Drosophila melanogaster: one gene and its partners. The protein of the gene in region 1 interacts with the protein of each later gene in a pairwise test. Each region holds a gene or a part of one and is shown in the gene's direction. Other genes may lie near its edges.

Region 1 (11,079 bases):
TCAGGTAAAAAAGATTCAGTTTTGAACGCTTAATCGATCTTAAAAATCTTTTAATTTAGATCTTGTCAAGCCAATCTGCATTGTCCCAAGTCCCAAATTGCCAAGGATGTTAACTACACTTGTGGATGAGACCACCAATGATTTCAGAGGCGTCAGGAATGTTACTTTGAACGCCATCAATCACATTGAATGCGCCAGAAGAATTGGGAAACCACTTAAAAGTAACCAATTTTGTGTCGCACAACCTATTGATTTTAAAGTTCAAGCGCCAGGCTCAATCATAGGCACATATAGAAATATCGGCGATGGTAATAGGTACTATCTTTTTGGCCTAATGAGCTACAGTAAGGACGGCATGGTGGTCTACACCTATATACAAAGCTATTTGGATTGGATAATGGATAAAGTTTATTATAATTAAATATATAATAAATAAATAACTATAAAATAAATCATTTCGTAAATATTTTTAATATGATGAAATGAATAAATATAAAATATATCATTCCAAAAATGCAATAAAAATTATCAATGCAAATCTGAGTTTATACTTACGATTTTCTTTTAAATTTATAAATGTACTTTTTGGTATAAGATTGCGGTGATGAGAAGTGCATATTATCGGCATAAATTAAAAAAAAAATTTAATAAAAACTCATTGCTAGCTCCTCATGTTGAATATCTGTTACACCTTTATAAATCATTAAAACAATTATGAATGGTTAAATAACAAATCAGGAATAAATAACATCGATGAACCAGTATGAATGATAAGCCTTATATTTAATATTTATCACATTATGTAGCAAAATGTTTTGCTTATTTTGAAAATAAATAAAAAATAAGACCCAGTCTGCAGTTCACTTCTTTCTATTTAGATAAAATTAATTATATTATCATGTTACTTTTTTTTTACTCAATCCGTAGCTTATAGCTGTGCCCGCATAGGTGGCGCTGCATTTGTGTAAAATGAATGTAAACTATGAAGGTTTCGTAAGTCAACGCTAGGTGTCCAACATACAGTTTAAAACACAATTTTGGAGCCCAGTATGTGAATAGTCTAGGTCCTAAACATAAACTAAACTAAAATAAGCATTGTTAAAAAGCGTTTGCAGGTTATTTGGTTCATCCATAAATGTTTTTTTTTTAGAAATATTTATAAATCGATAAATAGTAAAGCACAGCTGTTTTCATGGTAATACATTTTGGCACACAAAGTACCGTGTACTTAAGCAACAACACACATTTTCATGTCTTTTGCGGCTTATTCCCATGCAATTTCTTTATTTAAGCGCTCATTAAATTGTAAAGCCAAATGCGTCCCCCACTAGATTATATAGTTGGCACATCCTCTTGGCCTCCTCGCACATCCTCAATGCAATTACGCGCATGCCGACAGCGCATGCGTGACATTTTCAGAGTGACTGCGCGATGTCGCTTCCTCTGGCTGGGTTCTGTTGGCCGGTCTGTCTTTGGGCCAGAAGTCCGCTCTGTCGACTGATCAAACAAAATAGCTGGCAAATGATTTACTACCGCTCTCGCGTGCATTAGCCAAAGTCATGGGGCTAGCACTTTTGGTTTCTGTTTGTTCTTTTCACCTCCAGTTGCTGGGAGACGGGGTTTTGTTGGCCCGCTTCTCGCTCTTGGTCAACAATATCACTGCAAAGCAAAGGGCATGAAGCAGGCGATCTGCAAGGCGGCAACCGGTTTCGGCCAACTGCGCAGTTTGATCGCTTTTTTCATGTCTTTCTTTTATTTTTTTTTTTTGGGAGGAACTGCATTTGCTGAATTGTTGCCCTCACAAAGAGTTTTTGCGGTTTGCCAAGAAAGTTACCAGTTTTAGATTTTTAAATTTAAATGTATTTATTTTAATTTGAAGAGTATGTATTTTGTTGCGATATATAGATATTCTTTATAAATCAGCTTTGATAAGCAGGTTAAGTTGGCTCATTCATTACAAGGAAAGTAACTGCATTCAGAAAAGTACGCATAAAAGGTTTAGAGGGTGTGCGAAAATCGCCGCTTTCCCGACTGTTTTGATTTTTGTTTGGCGCTAAAAAGGAAAATCAGACTTTGTGCCCGTCCAGAATCAGGGTGTTGTGTTGGGGCCGCTGTTGTTTTGGGTTGTGTAGCCGTCACCCAGATTATCAGGAAACTGGAGGAACCAGTTTCGGTGCGATGTGGCATGCAACCTAAATATAGAATTGCAGCTCGCCAAAAGTCGCGCTATTTGCTGCAAATTAGCTTGCTCAAATTATTGATCCAGACCAGAAAACTGAATTTATGGCTCGAATGCCATTATCACTGGCTGCGAAATTCATGGCTTATGGTTGCGCCCGGTGTTTGTTTATATTTGCATTTGCTCTATTCGGCTTTTTCTGGCCTTATCTTATCAGCAAGTGCCGCACACGAGTGTCACACATGCACAGGTACAGATACACATAGACTGGCCGATACAGATACGGATACCGATACAATTGCGCACCTTTTGGCCAACCACTTACCTGTTGATTGAGCGGAGAAGAGAGCGAGTGAGAGCGCAGCGTGCGGATGTGTGGGTGAGCGGGAGTATTTGTGTGAGTCGCTCGTCTTACAGTGCGACTCCAAACAACCCGTCGTCGTCGAGATCCCGATCCCAGCCCTCATTCGCTCGAACGCAACGATCGCGCGCGGTTGTATCTCGCAGAACAACAGAACAGAAAGATATAAACCCGGAACGAAAGATATAAGACCAAGAAGTGTCGAGGAACTCAAACGTATTCACTCAAGTGCTCAAAACATCCAGAAACAACTCTCCCGGTCACGGTCCCCCAAACGCTTTTCATTTTCGCAGAGAGAGAGAACGTTACGAATCCGCTTGCGAATCCAACAAGTGCGAGTGAAGGAAGTGTAAGTGTCTTGGCCAGTTTCTTGGCGATTTGTTGTTTGTGGTTCGTTGTTTGTTGTTTGTGCTGGCCTCCTGCCAAAAAGTTTTCAAAAAAAAAAAAAAAAACGGCTCCGCGAAGAGCCGGTTTCGAGCCACAGGGCTCGATTGTGTGATTCATGGCTCCGAAAACTTGACCGTTGACTCAGCATCCCCGAATATCAAAGACAGATTTAAGCAATTAAACCGCATTGGTATAAAAAGCAAAAGTGTTAACCGCAAGTTATTGTGTAACTAACCGTTGTCACCGTTGTCATTAAAACATAAAAACGAAAGATCGCCGAGATGCGGTCTTTAAACTTAATTACGCCCGTATCTCGGTATTTCGTATCTTAATCGCCTGACCGAAATGCGTAATAAAAAACCGCAAGAACAGTGTTTTTTGTTAGTGATTTTGATTGAATTGCGCTAGATTCTTTATTATCATTTTTGCCACTCAACATGATTTAATTAAAAAGCCGAAATGTTTTTTGTCGGCATAGTTAGGTGGCGGGTTGGTTTATTATTATTTGTTTACTTGTTTGCTGTTCTTGTTTAACCCGCCTGAGCTTTTTATGCCACCCGCTATGTGATGTGATGTAGACACAAATACGCGCGGCATAAAACATCCAAATATTATATTATATTATACATATTTATCTACATAGTCGTCCATGTTTTCCTGTCCATTTTTTTTTTGTTTTTTGGTGGATTGGTGGATTGTTTGCCTCGATTCGATTCAATTCGTTTCGTTTCATTTCGCTGCTTGATTGAGCACATCAGCGCTGGCAAAAACATATTTGCGTTTATTTTTGTAAGCTTTGCGCTATGGCTACATTTTAACATATTAATGCTTTATGGCTCACTTTTCATGCACTGGAAATTCAATTTAGGGAAATTTCATTTTAGCGAGAGTATGTTTTTGGACCTGCGATCTTTAAAAGAAGCATGCATTGGGTATGAGGGATGTGTGACCCCGACGGAATGATTAATTGTTTATTGAGAAATGGATAATGGATCGGATGGATCATAGCTCGGATGGAGTCACCACCGCTGATTCACGCACTTAGGATCTTTTGTGACCCAAATTCCCCAGATTATTCGGGGTTGTTGTTCCCATTTAGCTGCACACTTTGTTGTGGTTTTGAGGAAAACAGATCACGGGAAATAGTTCAGCACCTGCACTTGCTTTCAACTTCAAAGAGATGTGCCAAATGTGCGTTTCATACGCATAGTACATTCATGACAAGAAACAATAATATGAGATCATTGAAACTTTATGTATATCTAAAGTATAGATAATGAAATTATCCTACTTAAGGATTTATTTTTTGGGCAATTGTACTTGAGCCCTTCAGCAAATTGTTTATCCCATTTAACTAGATGTAATTATAGGATTACTATAAGTTACAGCCCCGAAACGGACTGATTGCACATGGGCATTTGGCTGGCTGCGCCGTTAAAAGCTTGGCTATGAAAACAAAATACAAACAATTAGCCAAATAACAAAAAGAATAGCCCGCACCAGGAACAACAACAAAACAGTGGGCCACAAAAGCCAGACAGACATTGGCAGCCGTTGCCGTCGCCGTCGTCTGGCGTTTTGTAGCTTTGCGGCTCTGCCGTCGTATCGGTTGGGAATTGAGAACCGACAATGTCTATATAGATGCTATATAGCCAGACTGTGCCACTGCCACTGCCTCTCGCACGGCCCAAAAGCAGCGACGCCGGCAGCGACGACGACTGCGACGGCAGCGATGTGGTTGAAAAGATTTTTGTATTCGAAAACGGCACAAAATGCACATAAAAATTTTCGGTTTCGGTTTTTGCTTTAGTTGAGAGAAAATCGTCGCTTAGTTAACGTCGCCCAAGAACTGAACTGGCAGTGCACCACAAACGTCACGAATATACGAAACCGAGATCCAAGTCCAAATCAGTAAAAATCAAATCAAATCGAAACCGTATCGAATCGAATCTAATCGAATCCCAGCAGAAAGCCACCCGATCGGAATAAATCGGTCAGTACCAGGTCGCATGTGAAATCAGACATTCGGTTAAGTAGAAATCAGCTGGTTATACAATAGCCTGCCGCAATCGATTCGCCAGGATCGCTGATGAATCAGAATCAATATCAGAGACAGTCACCGCCCCTCTCCCTCACCATTCGTCCACTAAATAGTGACTTGTGTGCATTTTGTGAAGGTTAACAACAAGTAAAGTCCCTTACGAAACCGAAGACTCAGCGCGAATAATATAGGCGATTGGTAAATAATTTTCTTGGCACGCCGATCCAGGGAATTTCTTTTGACGCATATATCACATTTGTTGGCCAGAGCACAGATACAGAGATACAGATACGTTGTAGATCTTCGGCTCGTTGAAATTGAATAAAATTATATAGTCAAAAAGCGAGAAAATTTTTAGAAACTTTTCAAGGTGAGTTTATTTATAGCTCCTCGAAATGGCTGCGCGGATTGGATTTGTTTCCGAATACTCTCGCTCAGTCAGTCAGTCAGCGCCGTTCGCCAGCAGCCATCCGCCAGATACAATATCTGCCAGATACAGATACACAAATTGCGAAAGTGCTGCGAATGTGGCGGCCACCACCTCCTGCGCCTCCTTTCTATGCTCGAATTGCTGCGGTTTGGCGCCACAAATTCTGAGACATTTTCAAAACGTTTTGAGCGCTATATAGACTATATATCGGCGACAGCATAAAGCATCGCATATTAATGAAGCCAGACCAGCTCTCTAGGTCGCCTCCTCGAAAAGTGTCTTTCGTTATCTTGGCAATTTTCGTTTGCGATTTTCGTGGCTGCTCTTCGGATTTCCTCTTCGCCTGATCTATTTTCAGCGATTTTCAGCAATCGCTCTCTCCTTTTCTCTCTGCCTACCTCGCCAGCTCTCGCTCACTCTCACTGCCGCTGACATCACGTATACGCAGTGGTTGCTCTCCATTTCCATTTGCCATTTCCAATTCCTGCCAGGCCACCAGCAGTCTGCCTGTGATGTAATTTAGCCATGACCAAAACTTGTTGATACTCGCCCTGTTCTTGTGTCCGTTTATCTTCTGGCTTTCTTTTAGCCTGGGTTCAGTGAACCCCAACAAAACGACGAAATCGATTAATCACCCACCTTGTTATCTAGCGATTAAACTAATGTTTGGTCACCTCACCAATAATAGCTGTAAAGCAATCGCCACTTCGACCGAATCAATCTTACAACGCCTCACAACATCCGTGAATCAATGCCCGATAAGATAGTGGTTCTATAAACTTGAATGAGCTAATAGCCATTGCCACTGACCACTTTTTCGATGAATGAAATGTCTTTGTTTACACTGGGGTTTATCAGTCCAGGGCGGAATTAATTACGCAGAGGATGATGGGTGCACTAGAAAATACACCGAAAACAAAGAGCTGACTGTTCGTTTAATTATTTAAGTCGAGTTCTTTTAGTAAACAGAATTGTATCTAAATTTTTTCTCACTGCTGAAAAATACTAGCAAATTCCTTCTCGGCCGGGAATCGTAAATTAAGGCCGTCGTGGAAATGTAGCTGAGCTCATTAGAATGGCACTTCTCGTGCACATCCTATTCCTATCCTATCCCATTCCGTTCCTGGGTGCGTGACAATATTTCATGGCTTGGCTTCACTTGACTCGGATTCGTGCACATATTGCAACCATCGCGGGGGACTGAGCGATGGGGCAAAAAAGGGGAGACATGCTCTACAAATTTCAAACAGCTTTGCGTATATTTTAATTAGTTCGCTCTCTCATTGGCCGCTTTTGCTTTTTGCAAATTCTCTGCGGTCTCTACGATTGCCACCAAATCATTTCTCAAGAATTTAACCTTCGTGAACTGTCATGGTAGATTGCATTCTCTTTCCTTTTGCTGAGACAAGCACTTCTCTCGTATCTTTGTATCTTTGTTTATTCTTCAGGGTTCGTATGTCACTCAGAGCAAAAGAACAAAAAAAAAAAAAAAAAAAAAGGTGGCGAAACAACGCAAAACCCGACCGATGATAATGATTCAAGAATATTTAAACATACGTTAATGGAAGGTTCTTGCCTGGGAATGGTTGTAGGAGTAGATTGAGATATGACCCCTTTCGACCTTCTGATCTTGAATCTCATATGCTATATGCTATATGGCTTTTAAAAGAACTTCTATAATGAATTTTTAAATGCAGTGCTTGGCTATAGGAAAGAAGGTGTGCTATTTCAGCCAATGATATCATCTCAGCAAAGAAACAATTTCTTCAAATGTTTACTTCCCAATATATAGCATAAATAAATACATTTATTGCTATACAGACTGATACTATTAGCTCTCCTTATCGATTTACTAAGTTATAGTGCTCTGTTATTGCTCCCACTTAAAAAGCACTTGTGAGGTGTGCAACCCTGACCTTAACTTCTGCCAACAAGTTAATCACTTTCGCCTGGCCAACAACTGCGATGGCACACTTTCGCACAGATATGAAATCGCAAGTGGAGGAGGCGAGCGGAGTCGAGCGGAATTACACAATATTCGAGCGGCAATTTGACTAAAAGTAATCACGTATCCGACGCCTCGCAATTACATAACCGCAGTGCGTTGAAAATAAACGCCCACAGACGCGAAATCTTCGACGAAGAAGTGCAGACTCAACGCAACTCGAATTGTCTGAACCCTCCCCCCCATACCCCTTTTTTTTACTTTTTGCTAAATGGGTAATGGGTACCACTGCTGCCACTGCTCTTTCTGCACCACAAACGTGACTGGCAAACAATTTTTGGTTTCATCGCCGCGGCAAAAGCCACAGAAACCCATCGAGAGATTGCGATTGAGTCGGCACTTTGGGATAGGGTTTTAGTGGGGAAACCCGCATGGCATCTCATACCCATGCCATTCCATCCCATCCATTCCAGAGTTTTGTTTATGAATTTAACGAAGGGAAAATATTTATTTTGGCCATGCACGTTGCGCTGAACAAATTATAAAATCTCGTGCGGCGCGCGCTCATAAATCACAACAGCATTTACGTGCATCTCTTTTTCGGCATCGAGATCGAGAATTAATTGCCCGACATTTGGTGGCGTTTAAACGGGCGATTGGTGATTTTAAATACATATGTATGTAAGCCAAGACATTCCGCTCGAGTTTTCCTTGGAAAAATAGTTCAAAACGCTGGCCTTCCGCCCACCGACGAACTAATATTCGAGGGGCATTTCTGCGCCAAGTCTATTTCGATCGACAGCCCCTGCAGACAGACGTCAATGCCAAAGTCACAAATATCAAAAAAAAAAAAAAAAAATATATATATATTTGTGATTGGCGAAAGCGAAAGGTAGGGCGGCATCTCAATGAAAATTACTTTGCCTTAACCCCTGCTGACCAAACTGCAGCTCCAATTACCCCAAAAACGAGAAGAAAATAAAAAAGAAAAACAGCGGTGTGCGTCCGTCACCGAAATAGTTGCCTCGGCCAAATGAATTATATACATTTCTGATGTATTTTTAAAAGAAGAATCCGCCTGTGACACTTGCCTCTGTCCATTACGAAGGCTGACAAATTGTTTGTTGAAACGGGGTGAAATGCAAATGCTAAGCATTTTATTTAGTCTTTGATTAATTCATATCCAACAGATACTTGTTCGCTTGCCAACAGAGCAGGCGAGCGGGCAGTGGTCTTAACAAATTCATTCGGGTGTTCGCACAATGTTCCCAGCATCCAGGAGTCGAGATGGAATCGAGGAGCCGAGGAGAAATCGAGGAGACCAGGAGCCGGGCACTTTGTCAGCCCTAATTGCAGCACTTTGTAAACTGTCACCAGGGCAGGCCGTTCAAAGGGGGCGGGGCAGCAACAAGTGTGTCTCCTCCTGGAGTTCCCATTTTTTGATGGAGAATTATGGCCGCCCGTCCTTTGTGTCGACTTTATCTGCCAGTTTCAATCTGCCGCCTGTCATTAGGCCAAGTGAATAGGGGATATATGCCTGCGAGATATGCTCTCCAATCATCCGAATGAGGAAAAATTTGCATTTCGCAATTGCATTTCGCTTAATCGCATTTTGTTAACCCATTAAAGCCCAGCAATTATGCACAAAAGGTAATTACCAACAAAAAAATAAAACGGCGGGAAAAAACAAAGAGGCAGAATGAAAATAGTTTTCAATTAATTTCATTTTGTTCATTAATGTTAAATCAAATGGCAAATCCATGCGCTGTCCGTCTGTTTCTGCAGTTTTCAGTCCGATAATCTTATTGACTGCATAATGCGTTCGGTCGATTGGATAGAAAAAACATACATACATATGTAGATAGATTTCAGCGAAGAATGTCTTTAAAAATGACTACTTCTAAAATCAATGGTTCGATTTTTGGGCGAGGATTAAATTAAATTACCGCACAAACAGCAGCAGATTGACAAGCCTATTAAATTGTCATTATATATGCCACACACAATTTGTAGACAAATTGAAGAGGGCGATGGAGATGGGCGACTGATTGAGGGCTTTGTTCTGCGCACTTTGTGCGGCTAATTAAATAAATGTGTTGATAATTACGCTTTATTAGCTCAAAACAACTAATATGGCATTAACTATTCCAGTGACAGATTTAAAATTGCATTATTTTCACTATTTTTTTTTCCCCCAGCAGTTGCATTTTTTTGTTTAGCTGTTATTTGTTCAATTGCCAAAGCCGTCAGTGCTTTATGCCGGGAGTTTAATTTATGGGATTTGCTTTTTTGATTGTTTCTATTATATATAATTACATTTTGCGCTGGCGAATAATGTGATATTTTGCATTATTAATGGTCGCATTTATTGGCCATTGCTCTTAACAATCCCGCTTTTAAATCCGTTTACTTATCGATATCGAGACGAATAAAAACGAGAACTATAAGCGGTACTATATGTATCTTTTGGATTCGCCCAAATGCGTCTGTTCTAAAATATCAGCATATTGCTATTCGGCTTCAGCTTTAAACGCCGGTTTTTGACACACAATTTAATAAATATTTACCTGTCAAATATTTCATATGTCTATGTTGATTCACTCGAAAATCCTCCGAAAATAGGTGAACGCATGGAAATTGAATTTTTGGCTGACCGAAACGGCCATCGAAGTATAATATCTCTGATTAAAATTTGCATTCGCATTGCATATTGCACGTTTCTCATAGAAAGCATTCGGGAAATATTAATCAATTTTGCGCACAGCCATCGCACAATTATAAATCCCGTATCCAAGCAATCAAATTGCCGCATAAGCTCCCCTATTTGCCAGGGTATGCTGTGCGTTTGTATCTGCAGAATTTACATATTTTATTTGTTTAAATTTATGCAACTACAGGCAAATATTTGAAATTGCCAATTGAGAAAAAATGTCGATAAAAATTGCTCTGAATTAATACGCACATATGTAACCATAAATATTCGATTTATATAATGGAATAAGAGTTTTTGGTTTATTAACGTGGGGTATTCCATTGTGGTATTGAACTTTTTGGCACCTAAAAAATGCCACTGCAATCGTATCTGTACCTGTGTATCTGTATCTGTATCTCTATCTGTATCTGTATCTGTAGGTGAGCGGGAGAGTTTTCCATGGCCGGCGGAAAATTGCCACATTCAATGTCACTTGCATATCACTCTCTTTTTCTCTCGCACTTGAAAAGCAAAGAAAATAATCACAAAAGAAACGCCAAGAATGCATGCAAAGTGTCACTTTTGTCAGCTTTTCCCTCGCTTCTTGTTTTGCCATTGCGCCTAGTGCAAAAATATTAAAAATAGCACAAAGAGAAAAACTTTTCCCCTCCCGTTGTTTTTCCTCATATTTTTTTTCCTACCACACTTTTTTTTTCAAATACTCAAGTGTTTTGATGCACTGACAGTTGCAGACGTGTGCTGGTGTGAGTGTGATTGTGAGTGAAAAACTTTTTTAGCTTTCAGCGCTTGATAAGCGCCGCGAGAAAATATAACAAAAAAAAAAAAAACGAAATACGAGGGGAAAACGTGAAAAAAGGAAAAAGTCGAGTCGTCGAGCCGTTGAGTTACGCCCATTTAGCACGCGCATTGCATTAGACAGACTGAAGAGCAACAGCGTCGTCATCATCAGCGGGGGATCGCGGGGCGGACTTTTTCGCAGGGGAAGGGGGGCGGAGCTTCCAGGCGGGAGGAAAACATGTCCTG
Region 2 (11,079 bases), on another chromosome or scaffold:
GGGACTTGGGGAAACCATAAAGTATCGAAGGTACTGAGCCAAGATAATGAGATAACAGAAGGCGACTTTATTGTTTTCCACTCAAAAGCAATTGAATAAGTTGGCACTCGTTTTTAATTGAATGGGAATGAAATAAGCTCTAAAAGTGTTGTTAAAACGTAATGGCTTTTGTGTTAATTTAAAGAATTTAAGTAGTTTTGAAAGTATCATTATTCTTTAGGTAATTTTTATTACATTCCAAATTTAATAAATGACTAATTCGAAAAAGTGTTTATTTAATCAATGAATATATTTCAAGTAAGTTTACTTTTAGTAGCTTGCCAAATGTGAGTTTAAATATGTATGCATAGAACTATATAGTTAAACTGCTAAACTTTACAGTTAAACTTTCTGAACCCACCAAAATGGATGAACATCCTCGTCTGCCGAAGGGAACTCGATGCACGTCATTTTGTTTTTCAACAATCCAGATCCGTGCGCTACTCCTTGGGCGAGAAAGTAAACAAACGCCAGCTGATATGCGTCAGACCCCCCGGGCTCATCATCATCTCACCATTTCAGACATCCCATGCCAGCCCGAATCCTCACGAGAAACTAGACCAGACCAGGGCGAACTACATATGTGGATGATGCTAACTGACACTACGGCTGACTCATGCTGACAGTGCTCAGACGCTGGATACAGCCCGCAGACATCCAACTCGTATCCTATCCGATTCTGCCCCATATATATAACCCTCAGTCGATGGCTGGGAGGCAAACAGTTGAGGCCGTGCCACTTGGCAGACACATACTACACACTCCCCGGGGGATTCACGCATCCATACTTAAACACCACTTCATCACTCATGGGCATCGAGATGAGGTGTCAGGACAGGAGGATCCTGCTACCTAGCCTACTCCTACTAATCCTTATGATCGGCGGTGTCCAGGCCACCATGAAGTTGTGCGGCCGCAAACTGCCCGAAACTCTCTCCAAGCTCTGTGTGTATGGCTTCAACGCAATGACCAAGAGAACTTTGGGTAGGTGGGATTTTTCTTGATATAAGGAATACTAAAGTGCCATATCTCTTTACTTTCACCTAACACCTGTAGACCCCGTGAACTTCAATCAGATCGATGGCTTCGAAGACCGTTCCCTGCTGGAAAGACTGTTGAGTGATAGTTCGGTTCAGATGCTCAAGACTCGACGTCTTCGGGATGGAGTCTTCGACGAGTGTTGCCTGAAGTCGTGCACCATGGATGAGGTGCTGAGATATTGTGCTGCCAAGCCGAGAACGTAAACCTCGTAAACCTATTAACCCAATGACGACAACTGCGATGATTGAAATGGAATGAAAGGACCCGATTGGGGAAAGCACTCACGTAATCATAGTTGTTAAGTCGTTATCGAAGCCTACTCAATTCCAACTTTGGATTTATGATATATATGCACATGTAAGAGGGATGTATGCGCATAATTTATGATCTGAAATCAGAGACAGGCACGCGAAATGAATCGGAACACGGGATGTTATGCATGGTAGATATGTATGATTGTGCGGGGCCAGAATACATCGCCTGGGTATAAATTATTAAATAAATTATGTATTCAAACTGCTGCAGATTGGCCAACTTGATTGGTAATGAAACGGGTATTACATTGATTTTTCATTGTCGTTCATTGCAGTTAATTATTTATTGAACAGCGGCCGGATTTCTGTTTGCAACTATGTTGAAAAGGAAGCTGTGATTTTTTAACAAACTCTGTTCATTGTAAAGTTTAAAATCATTCCAATTTAATGCCCTCAAAACCTACGCTGAAATGGTCAGTTTTAAAACGATATTTATTAATATTTTAGTTAATTTACTAAGATTATCCGTTTTGCACTTTTAATGCCTTGCATTTGGTAATGCGTGATTGTTATTTAAGGTCTGCATGAATTTAGTTGATTCCGTTTATTTTAGCTTTCAAAATGTAATAATCTTCTAATTTACAACTACACAGAACGATTAAATTATGAGTATTGCTATAAAATCGGCCAACCGCGACTAGAAATACTCGACTTTTAAGGTCAACATAAAAGTAAGTCAATGTTTTGATTATAAGATTTGATCAATTACTTCTTTACGGATGATATAATCATCGATAAACGAAGTACGAAAAAAGCTATGAACTAAAATTTGGAAATTTCCCACATGCGACTAACTTTTGAATTGCAATTGGATTGCCTACTGTATTAAGACAGAAACAAGTTTTGGAAATGAATGAATGGTTTAAATTGTTTCAAGTTTTTTTAAGATTTTTTTTGTTTTCAATAAATTTAGTTTTAATAGAAAAAAAGATATATTCATTTTAGATTTCTGAATACTTGTGTTATATCGCTTTTTATTCAAGTGTAATAATCAACATATATATCATATAATGATAATAATAAATGTAACGTCCCAAATTAATAATAATATAAAGTAGCATTTGCGATTGTTTGCCAAAGCTTAAAGCAGAATATATATTTAATCCATTTCGATCATTCGTAAAGAGTAACATGCAACAAGCTGTAAAAAACATCGATTGTAGTATATATGCACATGGTTGGTTTGGAACCAGATCCAGAGATAATCGCGTCGACCAGGTCAGTTGGGGTCAATGATTTTCGCATTAGGAGGCCTAATTTCTGACCACGGAGCAGTACTCCCGCAGAGCCTTCATATCACAGGACTTTTTGCAGCACCTCTCCACGATTCCTTGCCGTTGGCGAGTTCGCCTCCGGACTTCAGCCAGGGAATTGAGTACACCCCCAAGATAGCTCCCAGGAAAGAGGGCACTTCGCAGCGGTTCCGATATCGAGTTATCCTCCTCCTCGAACTCCTGGACAAACTGCAGGGGATTGAGGGCGTCCAGATCGCTGTCGGCACCGGCTAATAAAAATCGTGGATACAATGTAGATCTAGCAAAGCCAGCTTGAGGATCTGCATCCTTGTAAGAACTTACGCATGGCGCGCTTGTGTGGAATCACGGGATTATACTCCTCGCACACCATACTCAGCACCTCGTTGAGCTTTTCACTGCAGAGCGTTCCTTGGGCCAACTTCACTGTGGAGCTGGCCAGCAAAATCACGGCCACCATCGAGATGAAGGACAAAGGCTTGCTCATGGTTATGGGTTTACTGCTTAGGTTGCTTTACGATCAAATGGATTAAGTTGGGTCGAGCCGGGTCGAAAGCTAACTGATGATGTTTGGCCCAAAGTAACTGGCTTATATACTGCCTCGTAAGAAACTTAAACTGGGTCTGGGTCGGGGTCGGTCTCTCGGGGTCGGGGTCTGGATCCACACACATGTTATCCTCAAAAGTCAGGTTGTCAAATTGTGTTAGGATGCGATGAGTGCATTCCGGAGTTGGCTCTTCTCTCTAACGCCTGGCTAAACTCATTCAATGTCAAAGCTGACTTATGCAAATGGCTATTGGAAAATTGTGGGTGGTTTTTGGGTGGCTGTGTTTGGGAGAAGAAGGGCTTTGTGGGCGTTTTGCTGTCAGCCAATTAAACAATTTATGTATAAACAGCCAGGCCGTACTAAGCCCTGCATTTATGAATACCAAATAAGTCCTTGGTCTTAAAGTTACCTCGCCTTTACAGCCCGTTTGCCTCTACCATTTCTACCCTATACTTACCAATCCGCGCCTGGGCGCCCGGCAGGCCGGAGTAGGCCAACAAGAACCCGAGCCAGCTGATTGGAGCCAGCAGCATCCTGGCAACGAATTACGCCTCCTTGGTACTTTTCCTTTGACTGTCTTGTCTTTGCCGCTCACACAAATTCTTCTTTTTGCACTGTCTACTTTTATTCATTAGTCAAAGTTGGTGCTGCATAAATAAGTGATTACGAATTGGATTACGAATGCTGTTAGGAGAACGGGTGTACATATAGTATGTATGTGGGAATGCCATGTTCAAGTGTTCGTATGTATGTATGTATGTGTATGCATGCTGGGTAATGAATGTGTGTGTGTTGGCCAAGTGTCCTATTTCGGTAGACAGTAGATGGCTAACTCCAAGTAGCTGCAGGTCTTGACGCAGCACTCGTCGTAGACGCCACCGGTCAGGTGTCTCCTGTGGCGACGCATCTTGATCAGGACCTCGGATCCGTACAGATTGGTTAGCAGTGGACTAAAAGAGTATCCTGCCCCGTCCAGTGTCTGCCACATGCTGCTATCATCCTGCACCTCCTGCTCCGTGTCCTCGTCGTCGTCGCTGTTGCCCAGCAAGCTTTCACGTTTCCTTGGCAGCGTATTAAAGCCATGGGGACACACCACATCCATGGCATCGGACAGTGCGGGGCCGCAGAGTTTGTGGTTTCCGGGGGGCAGCAACTGGTGACCACTGCCAGTCGGCGTGACCATTGCCATTGCAGCGGTGAGCATGGCTGCGATGAGCAGCGACTGGAGCCGAAGGCCATGTACTGCTGCACCGTTGTGCTGGCTAAACATCTTGGATATGCAGTGAATGCTCTGGGCTGCAACTGGTATTTATACCACTAAATCGGAAGCGCTAGCTAATGCAGTTCAATGGCCTCTTCTGCAGTCTAGCATTGCAGTGGCATAGCAAGCCCCACGGGCGTACAAACTGCAAATCCTTTGATCACCCATGTTTCAGGTACCGTTTTTCCCCTAAAAATGCAAACTCTATTTCTAGCTCTACTCCCCAATTTGGATGGAAAAGCGATGCACTGTTGTTTTGGTAGTTGGGGTATTGTATTGTATTTCTTAGCAAATATCAGTTGTATCATTACCTATATCTATCTATACCAATAGTTTGGAATGTATTTGTAAGACATTTTTAAGATATTCAGAAGAGTTAGCCTTATGGGACTTGCTCTAAAGTGTGAATTGATGCACACAGCTTTATCGAGCATAGTTTTCAGTGTAATCACCGCCAAAAAATCCGCCCACTTCAAAGCATAACCCGTTCGCCCAACCTGTTACATTGCCGCTAAGAGGCTCTGACTGCTGTCGATTGCGATTACGATTACGACCAGATATCTGTGGGGCATGGGGATAAGGGGTATGTGGGCCGATGGCTGACAGTGTGGCAGCCTCATTAGCATGTCGTGGCCAGGAGGAAAGTATGCTTCGATGAAGCTCCTCCGGCGGCAGTGTGCGAAATCGCTTCGATCACCATCATCGCCATCGCCATGGCCACTCGATTGTCGAGTTGCACGCACGGCGATGCCAACAGTTGGTTGCCAGCGCTGCACTCGAAACACTCGCTTCTTCCCACCGACCGCAAAGTGCCGGAAAAGCTAGAAAAAAAGCAAAAAAAAAAGTGGAAGAAAATTCGCGATAGAAAACGGAAAAATCGAAACGAACAAAAAAAGTCGGAATAAATCAAGGAAACATGGTGCTCGACATTAAGATGTGCCGATTTGATAATGTGCCCTGGGGCTTTCGCCTGGTGGGCGGGGCGGACTACGATTATCCGCTGACGGTGGTTAAGGTTAGGCCCGATTCGAAAAAAGAACGAAATCTATATGCTGCAACCCCCACCCCCCCACGCATCACCTCAGCCCATTCACCTGGCGGATGTTCATAGACCAGTGGAAAATATTGCTCACTATGCAGCTGATGAATCACATTGGATTAATTCGATACGATACGTTCGAATCAGTTTTATTTGTTCGATTGCAATATTACGTAACGCCGCGATGCGTGTGTGTCCATTCGGATTTGCTGCATTGGCAAATTAGTTAATTAAAGTAATTCCTCTCGCTTTTGTTTATCTAATCGACAGGGCCATACATTTCCCGCTAATGAGCCGCATAATGGCAGCGGCAATAAACTTATTCAAATTTTAATTGTGTTTCGCTGGCAGTTGGTCCTTTGTTTGTGCATAAATTGCATTTGGCAATTCGCATTTTGTAACATTGTGTTGACAATTCGCAACCAGCAACAATAACAAAAATACAATACATACAATACTATAGCATCGTCGTAAATCCGAAACAAATGCGATTTTTAATTGGCAAACTGCTAAGCGCATAAAACAAATGACCGAAATGCGAGGGGCGCTAAAAAATCCCATCCCTTCGATACGAATAAATCAATTTAAGCCGCAGAGTCAAGGAAGGGAGGTCATAAATTGTTTTTGACTTTTTGGTTATTTTTTTTTTACCGTTTTACATAAACAAATTATGCTATGGGTTATTTTAAATTCCGATCAATTTATAAAATGTTTGTGCTTTGGGATATGCATACCATGAAAAAATGGAAGTTTATTGTAAATGAATTATTAACTTCACAAGCTGGCTGATAGAGAAAAAACTGAAAAATGTCCGGAATGTTCTTCATTCCAATGAACTCCCTAAATTAACTTAGCTAATTTATTCCTTATACTAATACTCCGCTTTTAAGAATTCCTTACTACATGTTAGAGACTCAAAAAGCACATCCTTCGACTCGAGTCCATATTACTTTATGGAATGTGCCAACACACCTTCACATATTGGCTCTGCAAACACTAAACAATCCTTGGTAATCTTTTGAAAAACCTCTGTTTACACTACCACTCTTCGTCATGCTGCTCGCCACATACAGTCTGGTACATAGATGTATGGCCCAGCTAAGCCCAAAGCCTTTGTTCTATAAATATTCGCAACCTCCGACGATGTCGAGTGCTTTTTGCTCTGCGAATTCACCGCTGGAAATTGACTCTACCATAAGTGAAATGCAAGAGACCCCTGGGACTGAAAGGAAAGACCCTCAACTTGGTTGGGTGAAATGGTGGAGTCTCCAACCCTCCACCTGCTCCTTGTGCCAACCACTTTTTTTTTTTTGCAGTATTTGCATTACTAAGTCCTCTTGGCAGTCGGTGTCGTGACTTTCTGGTTATGAACCCTGCTTTCTCATAACGGAAACGAAAACAATCGCGTTTATTTGCCCACGAAAGTGTTACAAAACTGCCTGAATTATGCAATAGAATTCTTTGAACAGAGTGCTAAGATATTTCGCATTTTGAAGGCGAAACATAATTCATCCATAACTATTAGTTTGATGAATTCTCACTTCGTATGCTGGCAATTTTGAAGGCCGAAGTGGCAAAACCATTTTAAATGAATTCCTACAATTTATATGCTCAATTTGCGCCAATTTGTCTGTACTTTATTACCCACAAAAGCCATAAAGCTTATATTGTATTTAGTTGTTATTGTTCTCGCAACATTTTCACTTTGATTTATAGTTGCGAAAATAAATGTTGGCAAATGCAAATTTTTGAAACGATATTCTCTTACACGGTCATTTGGTACCATTTCCGGAATATACATTTACCAATTTTCCAAAAAAAGAGCCATAAATTGTATTATCCAATTAAAACGATTAGTCCAGTGGGTTTTTATTTCTAAAAATTTAATTTTGTAATTAGAGAAAACTATTGTGAACTTTGGATGACCTAGAAAGTTTCATTAGTTGTACATTATTTTTTACCCCCGCTTTAAAATTGCAGAACTTCTGTAAAAAAAAGCTTTTACAAGCTATTTAAATATTAGTGGTAGAGTTGTTTGAACATTTATCTTTTTGGAATCAGCAATATTTGGTTCTCTATCCTTACAAATTAATCTTCTCTTTAAGTGAACTCATAACTTTGTATATATGTACGTATGTAGAATCATCCTTCAACTCAAACATTTCCATCCGGCGAAACAATGCAATATTTGAGTGGTTAGACATGGGTAATTCCACTTGACTCGCTTAACTGAAGTGTCGTTAATGAGCTGCCACTTCTACTCGAGCACCCCTCGTTCTGAGCCCCCAGCCCCCACAGATCCTCTGTAGCCCCCCCATCTCCTTGGGCATTGTCTTCGGTTCTGTTGGGTTTGTGCGTGATTGTATGATTGTCTGTTCGGGGGTCTGGGTCTGCTGGTCTTTGTTTTGTTGACATTTGGCGCGCGTTTTATTTTTATGCACTTAGCACGCGACGTCGCCGTTGTCGGCTAATAGAAATTTCCCCATTATCGCATCGCATCCCATTGTATTGTATCTCGGCTATCTCGACTATCTCGGCCTCGCACTCATTCTATCGCCACATTCCCATATCCGCATCTGAATCGGGCGATATCTAGGCATTCCCATCTAGATCTAAACATGTCCATATGCTTCAACGTTAGGTGACCGAGGGCAGCATTGCTGACGAGGCTGGACTGCGGGTCGAGGATATCATCGTGCGCATCAATGACACGGCTGCCACGCCCCTTACCCACGACGAGGCCCACCGCCTCATTATGGGCAGTGGAAGCGTCTTCTATTTTGGCGTCTACCGGTGAGCTTTCCCATCCTTCTATTCCATACCATTCCGTTTCGTTCTCTTACTGCTCGTGGTCGTGGTCCTCGTCCTTGTCCGGTTCCTTTACTACTACTCTTTGTATCCCATCCACCGAGGACCATTTATCACAGCTGAGCGGGCTAACAACCCAAGAACGTTTCCTCATGCCCCTGCTCAAGGTAATCTACTTGTTCAAGAAATTCACAAACCACAAACGACCTCGAGAGAAATGGAAAAAATATGACAAATTTTCGTGATTTAAGAATAAAGTTCTGGAAAAATAAAGCGCTTTCTTAAAAAGTTGTCTGGGTAAAATGACATTTGGTTAATATATCATAATAGTTAATTTTATTATAATTATAAACTAAGAAAAGTTAAATTCAAAAACCCACCTAGCCCCATTAGTTTTGAAAATTACCCTACCATTTTAGAAGCAATTTATATTATTTGAATTAAGTTTGTATTTCAACTTTTTCGGGTTATGAATAATTATTCTTAGAGTGTCCCCGAAACCAGGGCTCCATCTCAGGTATTCCACGTTACGGAATTAATTCTAATGTTCATAAATTCTGCTCACTTTTTGGTCACTTGGATCCATGTGCAGGGAGAACGAGGAGGACGCTTACGAGTGCCTAAAGAAGTTTCCCACGAGCGAGGGTTCGTTGACCAAGTCACCAATGCCGACCATTTCACCGTCGCCGACTCCATCGCTGTCCCAGCTGACGGAAACCACAAATGCCCGTACTCCGGAACCGGAGCCATTCGTTCCGCTACCCCGGGAACTCGCTGCTGCGACTATGGCGGCTCCTGCTGTGGAAGTGGACGTGGATGTCCTGGCGGAATGTCGCCAACCCATGTCGGAAGTGCATTCGGAAGAGAAACGAGGGGATGTGAATGGGCATGATGCACCAGGCCAGGCAGATGAAGGAGGCCTTCCCGTCGAGAATCTCTACTTGCCCGATTTACCCGATCGTCCGTGCTCGGCGCTGTCCGAAAGGCAGGAAATTAAGCTGGTGGAGGAGGAAATTGCAGCCGTGCTGTCCGGCGAGTCGGAGGTGCTCAAGGAGCACAATGTCCTTGGGTGCGTACTATTCAATTTAAACCCATTTCTCCCGCCAGTTCCCTCCTTGACTACTTCCCCATTTGTTGGCATGCTATGCGGGCGAGTTCTTTTAACCACTTCCATATGATAGCGTCAATTTCTATAGGATCTTCCCAAAGCCGGGCGTCTGCATGTCCAGCGACGTACTGCGCTCCCTCAACGAGGAGGTGACCAAGACCAAGCTGGAGAAGGACAAGGAGAACCGTCAATGGTCCACTTTCCTGCAGCGTCCCAATCGCCCCGTTCCCAAGAGCAAGCAATCCCTGGAGGCGGAACGACGGGCGGCCAATGCCTACAAGGTGACGATTGTTAAGTCGGCGCCACGGGAAAAGTCGCCAATGGTGAGTGAGTGAATGCACTCAGAGGAAAGCTGCACGAAATTTGAGAATATTAACCCAAGAAGCTTGTGCACAAAACAAAACTTTAAGATTAAGATGCAAAAGTGATGAGATGTGTTAATTTTTAAGAAAAAGTTCCTTAATCTTAAATCGTAGATTCTTGGGTTAAATTTTCTCTCAGTGCATTATTTGCTGACCAAGATCAAAAGTTAATTTGTGTTTACGTGTGACAGCCGGAAGCTAAGCCGGCGCCAAAAGAAGCAACGCCACCCAAGGAAGTGGAGAAGAAGGAAGAGGAACCAGTGCCGGAGGAGGTGGTGGAGCCCGAACCGGAGCCCGAAAAGGATGAGGAACCACTGCCCACGGACAGTGAGGTGCCGAATTTGGAGCAACTTCCCGAGACCGAATTGCCGGACGAGCAGCCGGAGAAGAGTGATGCCCCCAAGGAGGTTTGCGAGCCGGAAGTGGTTATCCAAACAGAACCGGGCTCACCCGATGGCAACGAAGCTTCCGATGGTCCAGCAGGAGCAACCCCACCGGCGGAACCCATTACTCCAGTGCCAGTTAAAAGCGAGGAGGAATTGGCCCTGGAGCGCCAGTTGGCAGATGTGCAGCGACAACTGGCCGCCCTCTCGTCACTGCCCTCCACCATTCAGTCCACCCTGGATGCAGTGACCAAGCAGCTGGCCGACTTGCTGCCCACCATTAAGCTGCAGCAGCAGGAGAAGCAGTTGCCGCAAATCGATGAAAATTCAGGCAACGAGGAGCAGGTTGAGGAAGGGGTGACCACTGCCACCAACACCATCAACACCGCAGGCGAAACAGAGGATGCAGGTGCAAAAAACTATGCCCAGGTCGACAGTAATTAAATTTTTCTAATGCCGCACTTTTGCGTATATCCTTTGCACCAAATTCCTCCCCTTGCTACCCACTTTACCGCATGTCCTGCAGGCAAGGACATATCCATATCTGGAAGTGACAACCCACCGGTGGGGCCATGTGAGAGTAATGAGGATAGATGCGATGCCAATGACCGGGAAGTGGCGGAAATATCGCGCTCCACTGACGACAATCGCCTGGCCAAGGACAAGAAAAAGGATCTGGATCAGGAGCAGAAGCAGCAGCAGCAGCAGCAGCAGGAACCTCTGTCCGAGGAGCAGAACTTCAAGAAGCAGAAGGTAAGTACGAGGCACACAACTGGCCTTGGGAGCCATGGCCACGGTGAAATAAAATCCCTGGCAAGGCAGTTAATGTAATTAGGCTGTCATGAGTTGGGTCTAGCTGGTTTTAATGTCCTTGGATGTCCGGGTCCGTCCGTTTTTCCTACCCGCAACTTGGTCTCGTGCTAA
Region 3 (11,079 bases), 9.0 Mb from region 1:
AGTACAAGGAGCATGTGAAAGAGTGCCAAGCGCAAATCGCGATCCTTCGCGTGGAAAACCAAGAGCTGAAGAGGGACCTAGAGACGAAAATCGAGCAGATTGAAGGGGTTCATACCATCAGGCTAAAGGAGCAGGATGAGCTTCGTAAGAGCGTATCTGAGAAACAGTCCCTGATCGACAACATGCGCGTGGAGATTGACAAACTGAAACAGCTAAATGTATGTCTACCAGTTGCTCCAAGCGATAGGGCAAATACTTGCATACAGACTCGCAATCATTGCTATTCTGCATTGTAAACTGGACAGTATCTCTTTAAAATATTCTCTTCCGGGCTCGCACCCTTTTTCTTCTGTTATTTCAGCACTCGTTTGAGTTCGTACCAGAGTATGCAACCGAATCAAAATCCCAGGAGCTGATAAAGAAAATGCAGCTGGATATTAACGAGCTGAAGGCCAGGGACATCCAGAAGCAGGAGGTGATCAAAGGTCTACAGATCCAAAACGATATCTACCGCAGGGACTTTGAAATGGAGCGGGCAGATCGCGAGAAGAATGCCGGAGAGAAAGATCAGTATCTTATGGACTTGCGATCATTGCAGAGGAGGAACCAGGAGCTTATCGAAGCTCTGGCCGAGTCCCACAAGGCAAGCAAGGCGTGCTCGACCGCTTCTCCGCTGAGTTCAAGCAGAAGCAATTTGCGAGAGGAGCAGAGACCAGTAAGAGTACGCTGATTCCAAAGTCCATAAATGTCAATACTAATTTTTGTATCGGTAGATTCTCGACCCAACAGGCGCCTCATCCCGGACTTCAGACACCACTTTGCGATGTCCGATCTGTTCAAAGTCCTTTAACGCCTTAAGCGTGCTTCAGAGTCACGTTAACGATTGTTTGGATAAAAACTAAGCACAATTTCTTACCATATTAATAAATTTATATATATATATATATTTTCTTTTTTTACAATATCTTGTTTAATCTTAAAAGCCTGGCTAACCGGCCATATTATATAAAAACACTAATTACAGTTTCGTTAACAATGAACAATGCACGAGTCTCCTCAGAGTTTGCTGCGAATGGGGGGCATTTCCAGAGACCACACGCGGTGTACATCTGGACTGGCTACCAGGTTGCTAAGCACATTTAAGTCTGCAAAGAATTAAGATAAGCTAGAAACCATCGATTCGACATTCTGCTCACCGTTGGTGCGTGCAAACTGCTGCAACGTGTTGCGGATATCACAAATTGGAATGGCTGTATTTATGTTTGGGTAGACGACGTCGTCTAATTTAATGTTGGACACACAAACGCCTAGGATGCATCCATTCTGGTCGAACATCGGTCCTCCACTTTGGCCCGCCTGCACGCTGCCATCGGACATAATGGCCCCGGTGTCGCACTTGATGACCCTCCCTTGAAAAATCGAAGGGTTGAAGTCGTGCCTGAAGCTGAAGTTAACGTAGTAGGGAAACCCGGCGTTGTACACCATTTGCCCGACGGTGGCCGGACTCCTGGCCAGTCGCACGCAGCATTGCTCCGGCACATCCTGCGGAGCTGTGAGTAGAGCCAAGTCGAAGGGCTTATCGCTGTCCGGATTGCACCAAATCACCTCAGACTGGAACTCGCGATCGGCAGCACGGCAATTAACAGTCTCAATGTTCTGCGTGAAAGACATTATTTAGTGCGCCAAGGTTTCGGGCAGCCCATGCTTGCATACCTGTCCCACCACATGTGCACAAGTGAGGATAAAGCGCTTGTTGTGTACTCTTATGAAGGTCCCGGTACCTTGTTGACCCGCCGACTCTATGACCACAATGGTGCGCTCCCCTAGAACGGTGTGTAGTTACTATAAGAACAACGTGGAATTAGTCTTAACTTACAGGCAAAGCTCGACGGCTCTCGACTCAGCTGGAATGCTGTAGTAGACATGCCCAGTTGTTCCATAAAGTTGCGCAAAAGGTAGCCAAAGTTTGCGGCCAGAGTGAGGTTGACGTTTTCGTGATGGCGTTGAAATGAGGTGCATATCACAATGCCAACGAGCCGCCTGATAAACGGAAATTTTTGGTATATTACGGTTTTGTAACGTATTCATCACCTACAGCTTGTTGTTGAACACTGCAGAGCCTTCACAGCCCAGGGGCAAAGCGTTTGAAATGGCAAACAAGCAGCCACTTCGTCCCATAACATTAGACACCTTTCCAATGCTGATGGTCTTGTAAAAGTTCTCCAGGCCAAAGGGCGAGCACATGACCAGCACGTCGTCCAAAGTGTGCATGGGCTGCAGGTATCGCAAGTAGTTAGCGATGTGCGCGAGGAAGCGCTTGAAGGACTTCTCCTTTTCGGGCTTCCGCAGGCCCAGCACCACGAAACTGGAGCGCAGCACCTCACCCGCATCGCCGGAGTCAGCGGTGAGTAGTATGTGGTGCAGGTTGCGGCAAACTTCGTTCGCACAAAACACGTACAGCGGATGGGCAGTGAAGCGGGAGAGGATGTGTGGTTGCCTCGACCCAGGTGCTGCGATTGGCCTCGGCCGTCGTTGCTGCGGATCGAAGGTGGCCACAAAATGTAGTGAGCGGATCTGCGCATCCTCTTCCTGCTCCTCATTCTGAACATCCAGCAGTTGACCCCTCTGCAATCTGGCAACAATTGCCTTGTTCTGCGCTCCTTTGTCCCCGTCTACGGCCAAATGTGGTTGCAGAATGCTTCCAGAACTGATGATGAGTTCGTTGTTAATAATGATCGCGGACTGTTTTGCAGCCGGTGGACTGGTGACCTCCAACAGGGCGTGGCGTATCTTCAGCAGCATTATCTCTAGATTTGATTATGAATAGCCCCTTGTCATGGAAAACTGCGTTGGCTCCAAATGGAACCTTTGTGTTTGGACTCCGATGTTGCCATTCGCAGCGACAACCAGCTGTTTGCAAGCCAAAACAAGTCAGATTTTGTCATTCACCGCGCGCCGATCAGCTGATGGCTCCAACCTCAAAATCAGTCCCTCTAGGAATTTAAAATTTCCAACGAACTTCGCATAATGCTGCCTCTGCGCCGGAGTTTGCTCAAACCGCTCCAGGATGTACTCCGACATAGCCACCGCCAGATGTCGCAGAAGAACCTCTTGGAGCTCACAGATCGAGGCTTTTTCCACGGCATATTTCCTGATACAGCGGCGTAAGTATTGGACCATCTACAAAGAGAGAAGATTTCCATTTTATCTATGAAAACCGCTGCTCCACAGTCCCAGGATGAAACAGCTTTTTACCAGAGGCCAACAGAGCATCTACGCAGGATTCGATCCCACCGCTGACAGTCTACACGTGGGCAATCTGCTTGTAATAATGGGCCTGATCCACTGCCAAAGAGCCGGCCACAGACCTATTGCCCTAGTAGGAGGAGCAACTGGACTCATAGGGGATCCCAGTGGACGCAAGACAGAGCGCAACCAACTGGGCGAGACGGTGATCGAGACCAATCTAAAGGCTATCGAGCAACAGCTTCGCCGGGTGTTCGAAAATCACGAGAACTGCCTTTGGGACTCTAAGAAACAGAAATTGCCACTGGCTCCCCTAATGTGAGTGTGTAGCCTACATCAGGTCGTGTTAATCTCTTTCTAATCTCCGCAGAATCGTCAACAATGCCGACTGGTATGCGGACCTGCAGCTCATCGACTTTGTGGCCAACATGGGACGACACTTTCGCATGGGGTCAATGCTCTCCAGATCCTCGGTGCAGTCCCGCCTGGAGTCGGAGGACGGAATGAGCTTCACCGAGTTCACCTACCAGATTTTCCAAGCCTACGACTGGCTGCACCTACTGCGCCGCCACAACTGCTGCTTTCAAATGGGAGGCTCCGATCAGACGGGCAATTTAATGACTGGACACGAGCTTATTAGCCGCGTAGAGCGAAAGCGAGAGGTCTTCGGGCTCACCCTGCCATTGGTCACGACGGAAGAGGGCGATAAGTTCGGCAAGTCGGCAGGCAATGCAGTGTGGCTAGACGGTAACAAGACCTCGCCTTTCGCCCTCTACCAGTTTTTCCTGCGCATGCCAGACTCCGAGGTCGAAAAGCTCCTGAAGCTGTTCACCTTCATCCCGCTGCCCCAGGTGGAGCAGTTGATGCGGGAGCACACGAAGGAGCCCGAGAAGCGGAAGGCGCAGACTCTGCTGGCTGAGGACGTGACTCTGCTGGTTCATGGAGGTTGTACTCTATATCATTGTTCCTTTATATCAGTAGTATAGAAGTTTTCAATTCACAGAAAGTGGGCTGAAGCAGGCGGAACGTGTGACCAATGCCTTATACAAAGGCAACGTGGAGGGTTTAGCGGAACTCAACCTTTCCGAGATCCAGCAGACTTTTCAGGGTGCTACTATGGTGAACCTGTTGACCGAGCCAGGAATGTCCATCCTAGAGCTCGCCATGAAGGCGAAGTGCTTTCCCACGGAGAGTAAGTTATCTTTCTCTTTGGAAATATGGGGCATAATCGATTTGTGATCACTCTTTAGCGGATGCTGTACGCATTATAAACGCAGGCGGATTTTACGTTAACCAGAAGCGGGTGCAGAATATCGCCGAAGTGCTAACTACGGGCGTGCACATCCTGCGCAACGGAATTTCTCTGCTGCGCGTGGGCAAACGCAACTTCTATATTGTGCGCTGGCAATAGTTAACAGTAAACCTCTTATCCGGTAATGTTAACTTTTAATTGTTGTTAAATAATCATAGAATGGCTTACATTGTAAGAACTTATGCTATTTATGTGGGTCTGGGGGCGGGCTTTTTGCGCCACCGCTTTCGCGCCAGCATTTCCTTGGCCTTCTCCTTTTTCAGGTCCTTGTCGTAAAACTTGCCGCTCTTCGTGAAGGTCTTCTGCTCGTTGCGCATCTCGGCCAGCTTTCGGTTCTTCTGTTTGATGATGTTCTTCTTGTTGGCCGACTTCTTCTTGCCCGCCTCGGAGATCTGCACCTTGATGTTGCGTCCCTGCAGCTCTGTGTTGTGCAGCTGGAAGGCATTCTGGAAACTGCTTAGGTCGGCCATTTCCACAAAGGCGAAGCCCCCTCGTCGCTTCTTGGGAATGCGGATAGACTTGACCGTGCCTGCCGCAGAGAAGTGCAGCTCCAGGTCGTCCTTTGTGGTTTCGAAGTTCAGGTTCGTCACGTACAGGACGTGTCTGTTGGTTTTGGAGGCTCCTCGAAGCAGTGAACTCAGCTGGTCACTGGTTATCTGCCCATTTTCCGCAGATTCCTCTTCCTCGGCTCCGGAAGCAGCACTGCCCTCAGCGGCTGCCTCGTCGTCGGACTTGGCCTCATCCTCGCTCTTACTATCCTCCGGGTCACTGGGATTCCGTCCGTCCTCCTTGTCCACATACGTGCCCTCGAAGATCTCCCTTCGCTTCTGGTCATCGAAGTTTCCCAATAGATCCGCACTGTCGTCGTTGACTGTGCGTTGAACTCGCTTGGGATTGAAGAAAGCCTCCACCTCATAATCGCTGCCAGAATCACTGGCCATCGTGATATTTCTGGGGGAGATTGCAGTGCACACCGATACGCAGACACCACCACGTGGGATTCCCTCTGAATGGCAAATCTGTGCGGTCCCAGACATTTTCCAGCACTGGCTAATTGCGCGCCAAGAAATTCAAATCCCAGGCCATATTGCAATCGCAGCTTGTTAGAAACCGGTTGCAACTGCGGGAGCAAAATCAGACTGCTAATGGAGTTATGCGAAAATAATGCTAATCGGCGTTAGCATCGAAGGAACCGGTTAGCTCTTATCAGCTAAAAATTAATCGTGCGGTGCTGACAATTGATGAACGTGGTTGTTTTGGGAATCTTCCGCACAGATCTCCAAAGATAACCCCCCGAATATGATATGCCGAGTGGGGCGATAATTAATGCCTGCAGAATGACTGCATCTATGTCTTTTGTTTAATTAAGACAAACGACCGCTGGGAGCCAGTTATGAAGAAAATTTATGCAGTTGGTGATTCCGGCCGGTAAAATGTCAGTGGAGAGCTACATATAAAAGCGCAATTTTCGGCAACCAGCAGTCAAAATTTTATCGCTATCTATCAGCACACACATCCCCTTTCCAACCATGAAGTTTGTGGTAAGTGGCATCGAAATTAGATTTTGGGGACCTCTGAACAACGATTTGTCTTTTAGATCGTTCTTGCCTGCCTTTTGGCCGTGGTCTTCGCCAACGAGGAGGCTGATGTTGTAAAGAGCGACTCCGAGGTTAACTTGCTGGACTTTAACTACGCTTATGAGCTATCCAACCATATTCGCGCCGTGCAAACTGGAGCCTTGAAGGAGCACGACAACTGGGTGGTTTCCGGGGAGTACGAGTACGTGGCCCCCAACGGCAAGACCGTCAAAGTGGTCTACACCGCCGATGAAACCGGCTACCACCCAAAGGTCGTCGAGGCCTAATGAACAGGACCCACTCCCGAAGACCGAAATAAAAAATTAAATCCATTGCAGCAGCGAACATTTTGAATTTCCGTTCTTTTTCTTTTGTGTGAATAGACACTCTTCTTCTTTCTGCCACTAAAATCTAGGGCTGGCAAATTACGAGCGAAATTTTATACAATGTTATCGCTTGTCTCGCAAATTTGCATTAATGTGTAAAGTTAAGTAAACTCATTAAAACTATGTCTGGGCAGCCAACAGCCGTGGACTGCTTAGAGAGCAGTGGAAGCACAGTGGAGGATGTCCAAGAAACACCGGCGTCGAGGGAAAAAAGTTACGGGTTGCCGGTGCGCAAAGGAGAAAATAGCTTGGAGTCTCCTGCAGAACAAGCCGCAAAGGATGTGGAAATTGAGGAACTGACACACAGTGAAGCAATCGCCGCCACCGGTTCAACCAGGAAGCAGTGCCCATATGGAGGTAAGGCCCCTGATGAACCTGGAAAGTTGGCCGACGAATCGGAGGACCGCAAGGGAGAGAACACGAAAGCCATTGCAAGCAGCCCGGTTTTGGTAGCTGTGGATTCGGACAGCAGTGTTGAGCTAATAGAGAGTCCTGTCAAATTCTCCTCCGCCAACGAAAGTGAGAAAGATCCGCCAAAACCAGATGCTGTCAATGAAGCTGCGGCTAAAGAGGCCGAGGAAATGACTGATAGCAGCATCAGCAGTCCCACATCCGAAAGTTTTCCTGAAAAAGATGAAAAGACCAATAAGGAAAATGAGCAAGAACCTCCTGGCATGGAGGTAGATCAGGACGTCGAGGAGTCAATAAGTCGACCAGCAGAAGAATACAAAATTGAGAATACATTAAAAGGTCACAAGCGTATTAGCTTAACGGAAATCGAAGAACACAAAATTGTTGATAAAAAAGACGATGTCCTAGAGGTGGAGCTTGAAAAGGGCACTGCTCCGAAAGCTGCAGAAGACGAGAAGCTGAACGCTTTGTTATCAGATGGAGATGTCTTCTACGACAAGGAATGTGTCAACTGCAATTGCACAAAGCTTCATAAACAGTACGTGTTGGCTAACATGGCCACTTTAAACTTTTACCAGGTGCTCCGAAAGTCTTCCAAGCAGCAGTTCCTCTGCATGGGATGCCATGACACAGCAATGGACTTGTATGAGGTCAACTAGCATATTTATTAACTTAAGAGGGAAACTTAGAACGTATTTCTTTATTTAGGAGTATGCTGGACAACTAATGGCCAAGCAGCCGCTGCTGCTAAAGGATTTCCATCAGGATCACGCCGACTTTGTGGCTCTGGACAGCAGCGATGAGGAGGAAGAGGAGAAGCAGCCAGGTGAGACTGCTATCATGATAAATAAACAATAGCAAAAAAAAAAACGTACTAAATATATTTTATCCGCACAGAAAAATCGGACTTTTCGAAAAACAAGCTGCAGCTCATCGAAGATGAACTCGATGATGCCATCAAAAATGTACTTAACAAGGTGGATTTTACGGCTCAGCTGTCCTGGTCAAAAACTATTCTCCAGGCGAAAGCAGACCACTTGGAGCGACAATTCGCACTGGCAGATGTGGAACTCGAAAAAGTTCAGACCACCGCTGACAAAATGCACTGCGCTTTGTATAACTCGTGTCCGGTGGCACACAAACATCTGCCCACCCTGGACATTGAACCCAGTGACTATGTGGTAAGTAAGAAGTGATGCCGTTTGGATCTGATTTAATACAACCATTTACTCAGCATGAAGTTCCACCTCCTGGCGAAATCGTGCGTCCTCCAATACAGTTGGGAGAGACATACTACGCTGTTAAGAACAAGGCTATTGCCAGCTGGGTGTCCATAAAGGTAATCGAGTTTACAGAGAGCACCGCCATCAACGGAAACACGATGAAGAGCTACAAGATTAGGTACCTCAACACTCCGTACCAGATGATCAAGACAGTGACGGCCAAGCACATTGCCTACTTCGAACCACCGCCAGTGCGACTGACCATTGGTTAGTTCCCAATAGACCGGTTATTTATCAATCTATAAACTAACCCACTCATTGTGCACTAGGTACCCGCGTGATTGCGTACTTCGATGGCACCACTTTGTCGCGGGGCAAGGATAAGGGCGTGGTGCAGAGCGCCTTTTATCCAGGCATCATCGCTGAGCCGTTGAAGCAGGCCAATCGCTACCGCTACCTAATATTCTACGACGATGGGTACACTCAGTACGTTCCGCACCGCGATGTCCGTCTAGTTTGCCAGGCTTCCGAGAAAGTGTGGGAGGACGTACACGCCGCATCGCGCGATTTCATACAGAAGTACGTGGAGAAGTACTCCGTGGATCGTCCAATGGTGCAATGCACCCGGGGACAAAGTATGACCACTGAATCGAACGGGACCTGGCTGTACGCGCGCGTCATTGACATCGACTGCAGCTTGGTGTTGATGCAGTTTGAGGGCGACAAAAACCATACGGAGTGGATATACAGGGGTTCATTGCGCTTGGGTCCTGTCTTCAGGGAAACCCAGAACAATATGAACAGTTCAAGCGCACAGCAGCTGCGTGTCCCAAGAGTAAGCATCGTGTCGATTCATCCTGCGGTCCTAACTACAAAATGTCTTTCTTTTTCAGCGCACGGAGCCCTTTATTCGGTACACCAAGGAGATGGAGTCCAGCAGCAAGGTGAACCAGCAGATGCGTGCCTTTGCCCGCAAGAGCAGCGCCTCCGCCCAAAATAACGCATTAGCGGCTGCATCTTCGGCAGCAACCCCAGCCGGAGGACGCACCAATGCAGGAGGTGTCAGCACCAGTAATAGCGCAAGTGCTGTGCGACACCTAAACAACTCGACAATCTACGTGGACGACGAGAACAGGCCCAAGGGCCATGTAGTCTACTTTACAGCCAAGCGGAATCTGCCTCCCAAAATGTACAAGTGCCACGAGTGCAGCCCGAACTGCCTCTTTAAGATCGTTCACCGTCTGGACAGCTACAGTCCGTTAGCGAAGCCTCTGCTTTCTGGCTGGGAACGTCTTGTCATGCGGCAGAAGACCAAGAAGTCTGTGGTATACAAGGGACCTTGTGGCAAAAGCTTGCGCAGCCTGGCCGAAGTTCACAGGTACCTTCGAGCTACTGAAAATGTGTTGAACGTAGACAATTTTGACTTTACGCCCGACCTCAAGTGTCTGGCCGAGTACTCCATTGATCCCTCGATCGTGAAGGACACGGACATTTCAAAGGGGCAGGAGAAGATGGCGATTCCGCTGGTAAACTACTACGACAACACCCTGCCGCCCCCATGCACCTACGCGAAGCAGCGCATCCCTACCGAGGGTGTTCATCTGAATCTGGACGAGGAGTTCCTCTTGTGCTGCGACTGCGAGGACGACTGCTCGGTAAGACGTCTTACAGATCTGATTACCTCAAATTATACCCAGCCGCCCACTATTTTGTGTATCCCTATCAGGACAAGTCAAAGTGCGCCTGTTGGCAGCTAACGGTGGCGGGCGTGCGGTACTGTAACCCGAAGAAACCCATCGAGGAGATAGGCTACCAGTACAAGCGGCTCCACGAGCACGTGCCCACCGGCATCTACGAGTGCAACTCGCGCTGCAAGTGCAAGAAGAATTGCCTGAACCGGGTGGTGCAGTTCTCCCTAGAGATGAAACTGCAGGTGTTCAAGACCTCAAATCGTGGATGGGGCTTGCGCTGCGTTAACGACATCCCCAAGGGTGCTTTCATCTGTATTTACGCCGGCCATCTGCTCACGGAGACGATGGCCAACGAAGGCGGACAGGACGCCGGCGACGAGTATTTCGCGGACTTAGATTACATAGAGGTCGCTGAACAGTTAAAAGAGGGATACGAGTCGGAGGTGGACCACTCGGACCCGGACGCCGAGGAGGACAACGGGGGACCCGATGCCGAGGACGATGACGACTTCCGGCCAAACTATCACTACCAGCGCAAAATCAAGCGCTCTTCCAGAAGCGGCTCCACGCAGAACAGCTCCACTCAGAGCAGCGAGTTGGACTCGCAGGAGCGTGCGGTGATCAACTTTAACCCAAATGCTGATCTGGACGAGACGGTGCGGGAGAACTCGGTGCGGAGGCTTTTCGGCAAGGACGAGGCGCCCTACATCATGGACGCCAAGACAACGGGCAACCTTGGACGCTATTTCAACGTGAGTTGGAAGTTTTTTGTTATTTTGCCGTGTGGCTGATTCTCTTCTTCTCCCGCAGCACTCGTGCAGCCCCAATCTCTTCGTGCAGAACGTGTTCGTGGATACTCACGACCTGCGTTTCCCCTGGGTTGCCTTCTTCTCGGCCGCGCACATCCGCTCCGGCACCGAGCTGACTTGGAACTACAATTACGAGGTGGGCGTGGTGCCCGGCAAGGTGTTGTACTGCCAGTGCGGGGCCCCCAATTGCCGCCTTCGTCTGCTCTAAGTTCTAGCTTAAGTTAGAGATCCATACAGGAAATATACTCATTAAAGAAGAATTAGAATTAAAAATTTAAACTTTAAACATTATCTGTTCCGTTAGGGTAACGGAAACATTGCATTTTTATAAGCTACTGCTGTTCTGCACCGTCCGTTTCAAAGTACACAATTTTCTTCACGTTTAGTGTTAAAGGAATAAATATAGACAAATGAATTTTAAAAA

Evidence for each region.
Region 2: the proteins of Zasp52 (region 1) and Zasp67 interact in a two-hybrid assay, tested with the Drosophila melanogaster proteins (one study listed by BioGRID).
Region 3: the proteins of Zasp52 (region 1) and egg interact in a two-hybrid assay, tested with the Drosophila melanogaster proteins (one study listed by BioGRID).

The regions. Positions count from the first base shown.
Region 1 is NT_033778.4:15,808,570-15,819,648, reverse strand, and holds the start of Zasp52 (Z band alternatively spliced PDZ-motif protein 52), read left to right. Parts: upstream 1-4,731; 5' UTR 4,732-4,920; intron 4,921-11,079. Other genes in the region: CG33465 (uncharacterized protein), read left to right, coding at 1-4, 60-421. UniProt on the Drosophila melanogaster protein: Regulator of cell matrix adhesion having two related functions, one upstream of Actn organizing the Z line and the other downstream of integrins regulating assembly of integrin adhesion sites.
Region 2 is NT_037436.4:9,791,819-9,802,897, reverse strand, and holds the start of Zasp67 (Z band alternatively spliced PDZ-motif protein 67), read left to right. Parts: upstream 1-5,210; 5' UTR 5,211-5,371; coding exon 5,372-5,470; intron 5,471-8,135; coding exon 8,136-8,287; intron 8,288-8,894; coding exon 8,895-9,371; intron 9,372-9,483; coding exon 9,484-9,733; intron 9,734-9,963; coding exon 9,964-10,564; intron 10,565-10,681; coding exon 10,682-10,908; intron 10,909-11,079. Other genes in the region: Ilp3 (Insulin-like peptide 3), read left to right, coding at 849-1,023, 1,096-1,283; Ilp2 (Insulin-like peptide 2), read right to left, coding at 2,648-2,898, 2,972-3,134; CG32052 (uncharacterized protein), read right to left, coding at 3,652-3,727; Ilp1 (Insulin-like peptide 1), read right to left, coding at 4,000-4,464.
Region 3 is NT_033778.4:24,775,378-24,786,456, reverse strand, and holds egg (eggless), read left to right. Parts: upstream 1-6,555; 5' UTR 6,556-6,643; coding exon 6,644-7,582; intron 7,583-7,640; coding exon 7,641-7,758; intron 7,759-7,829; coding exon 7,830-8,113; intron 8,114-8,166; coding exon 8,167-8,422; intron 8,423-8,484; coding exon 8,485-8,990; intron 8,991-9,048; coding exon 9,049-9,810; intron 9,811-9,881; coding exon 9,882-10,598; intron 10,599-10,656; coding exon 10,657-10,863; 3' UTR 10,864-10,923; downstream 10,924-11,079. Other genes in the region: key (kenny), read left to right, coding at 1-218, 362-721, 774-902; CG3589 (uncharacterized protein), read right to left, coding at 1,057-1,145, 1,197-1,656, 1,714-1,823, 1,877-2,040, 2,096-2,802; TyrRS-m (Tyrosyl-tRNA synthetase, mitochondrial), read left to right, coding at 3,028-3,164, 3,232-3,564, 3,617-4,191, 4,250-4,438, 4,497-4,657; CG3594 (uncharacterized protein), read right to left, coding at 4,747-5,499; Lcp9 (larval cuticle protein 9), read left to right, coding at 6,088-6,099, 6,156-6,422. UniProt on the Drosophila melanogaster protein: Histone methyltransferase that specifically trimethylates 'Lys-10' of histone H3 (H3K9me3) in ovary. H3K9me3 represents a specific tag for epigenetic transcriptional repression by recruiting Su(var)205/HP1 to methylated histones.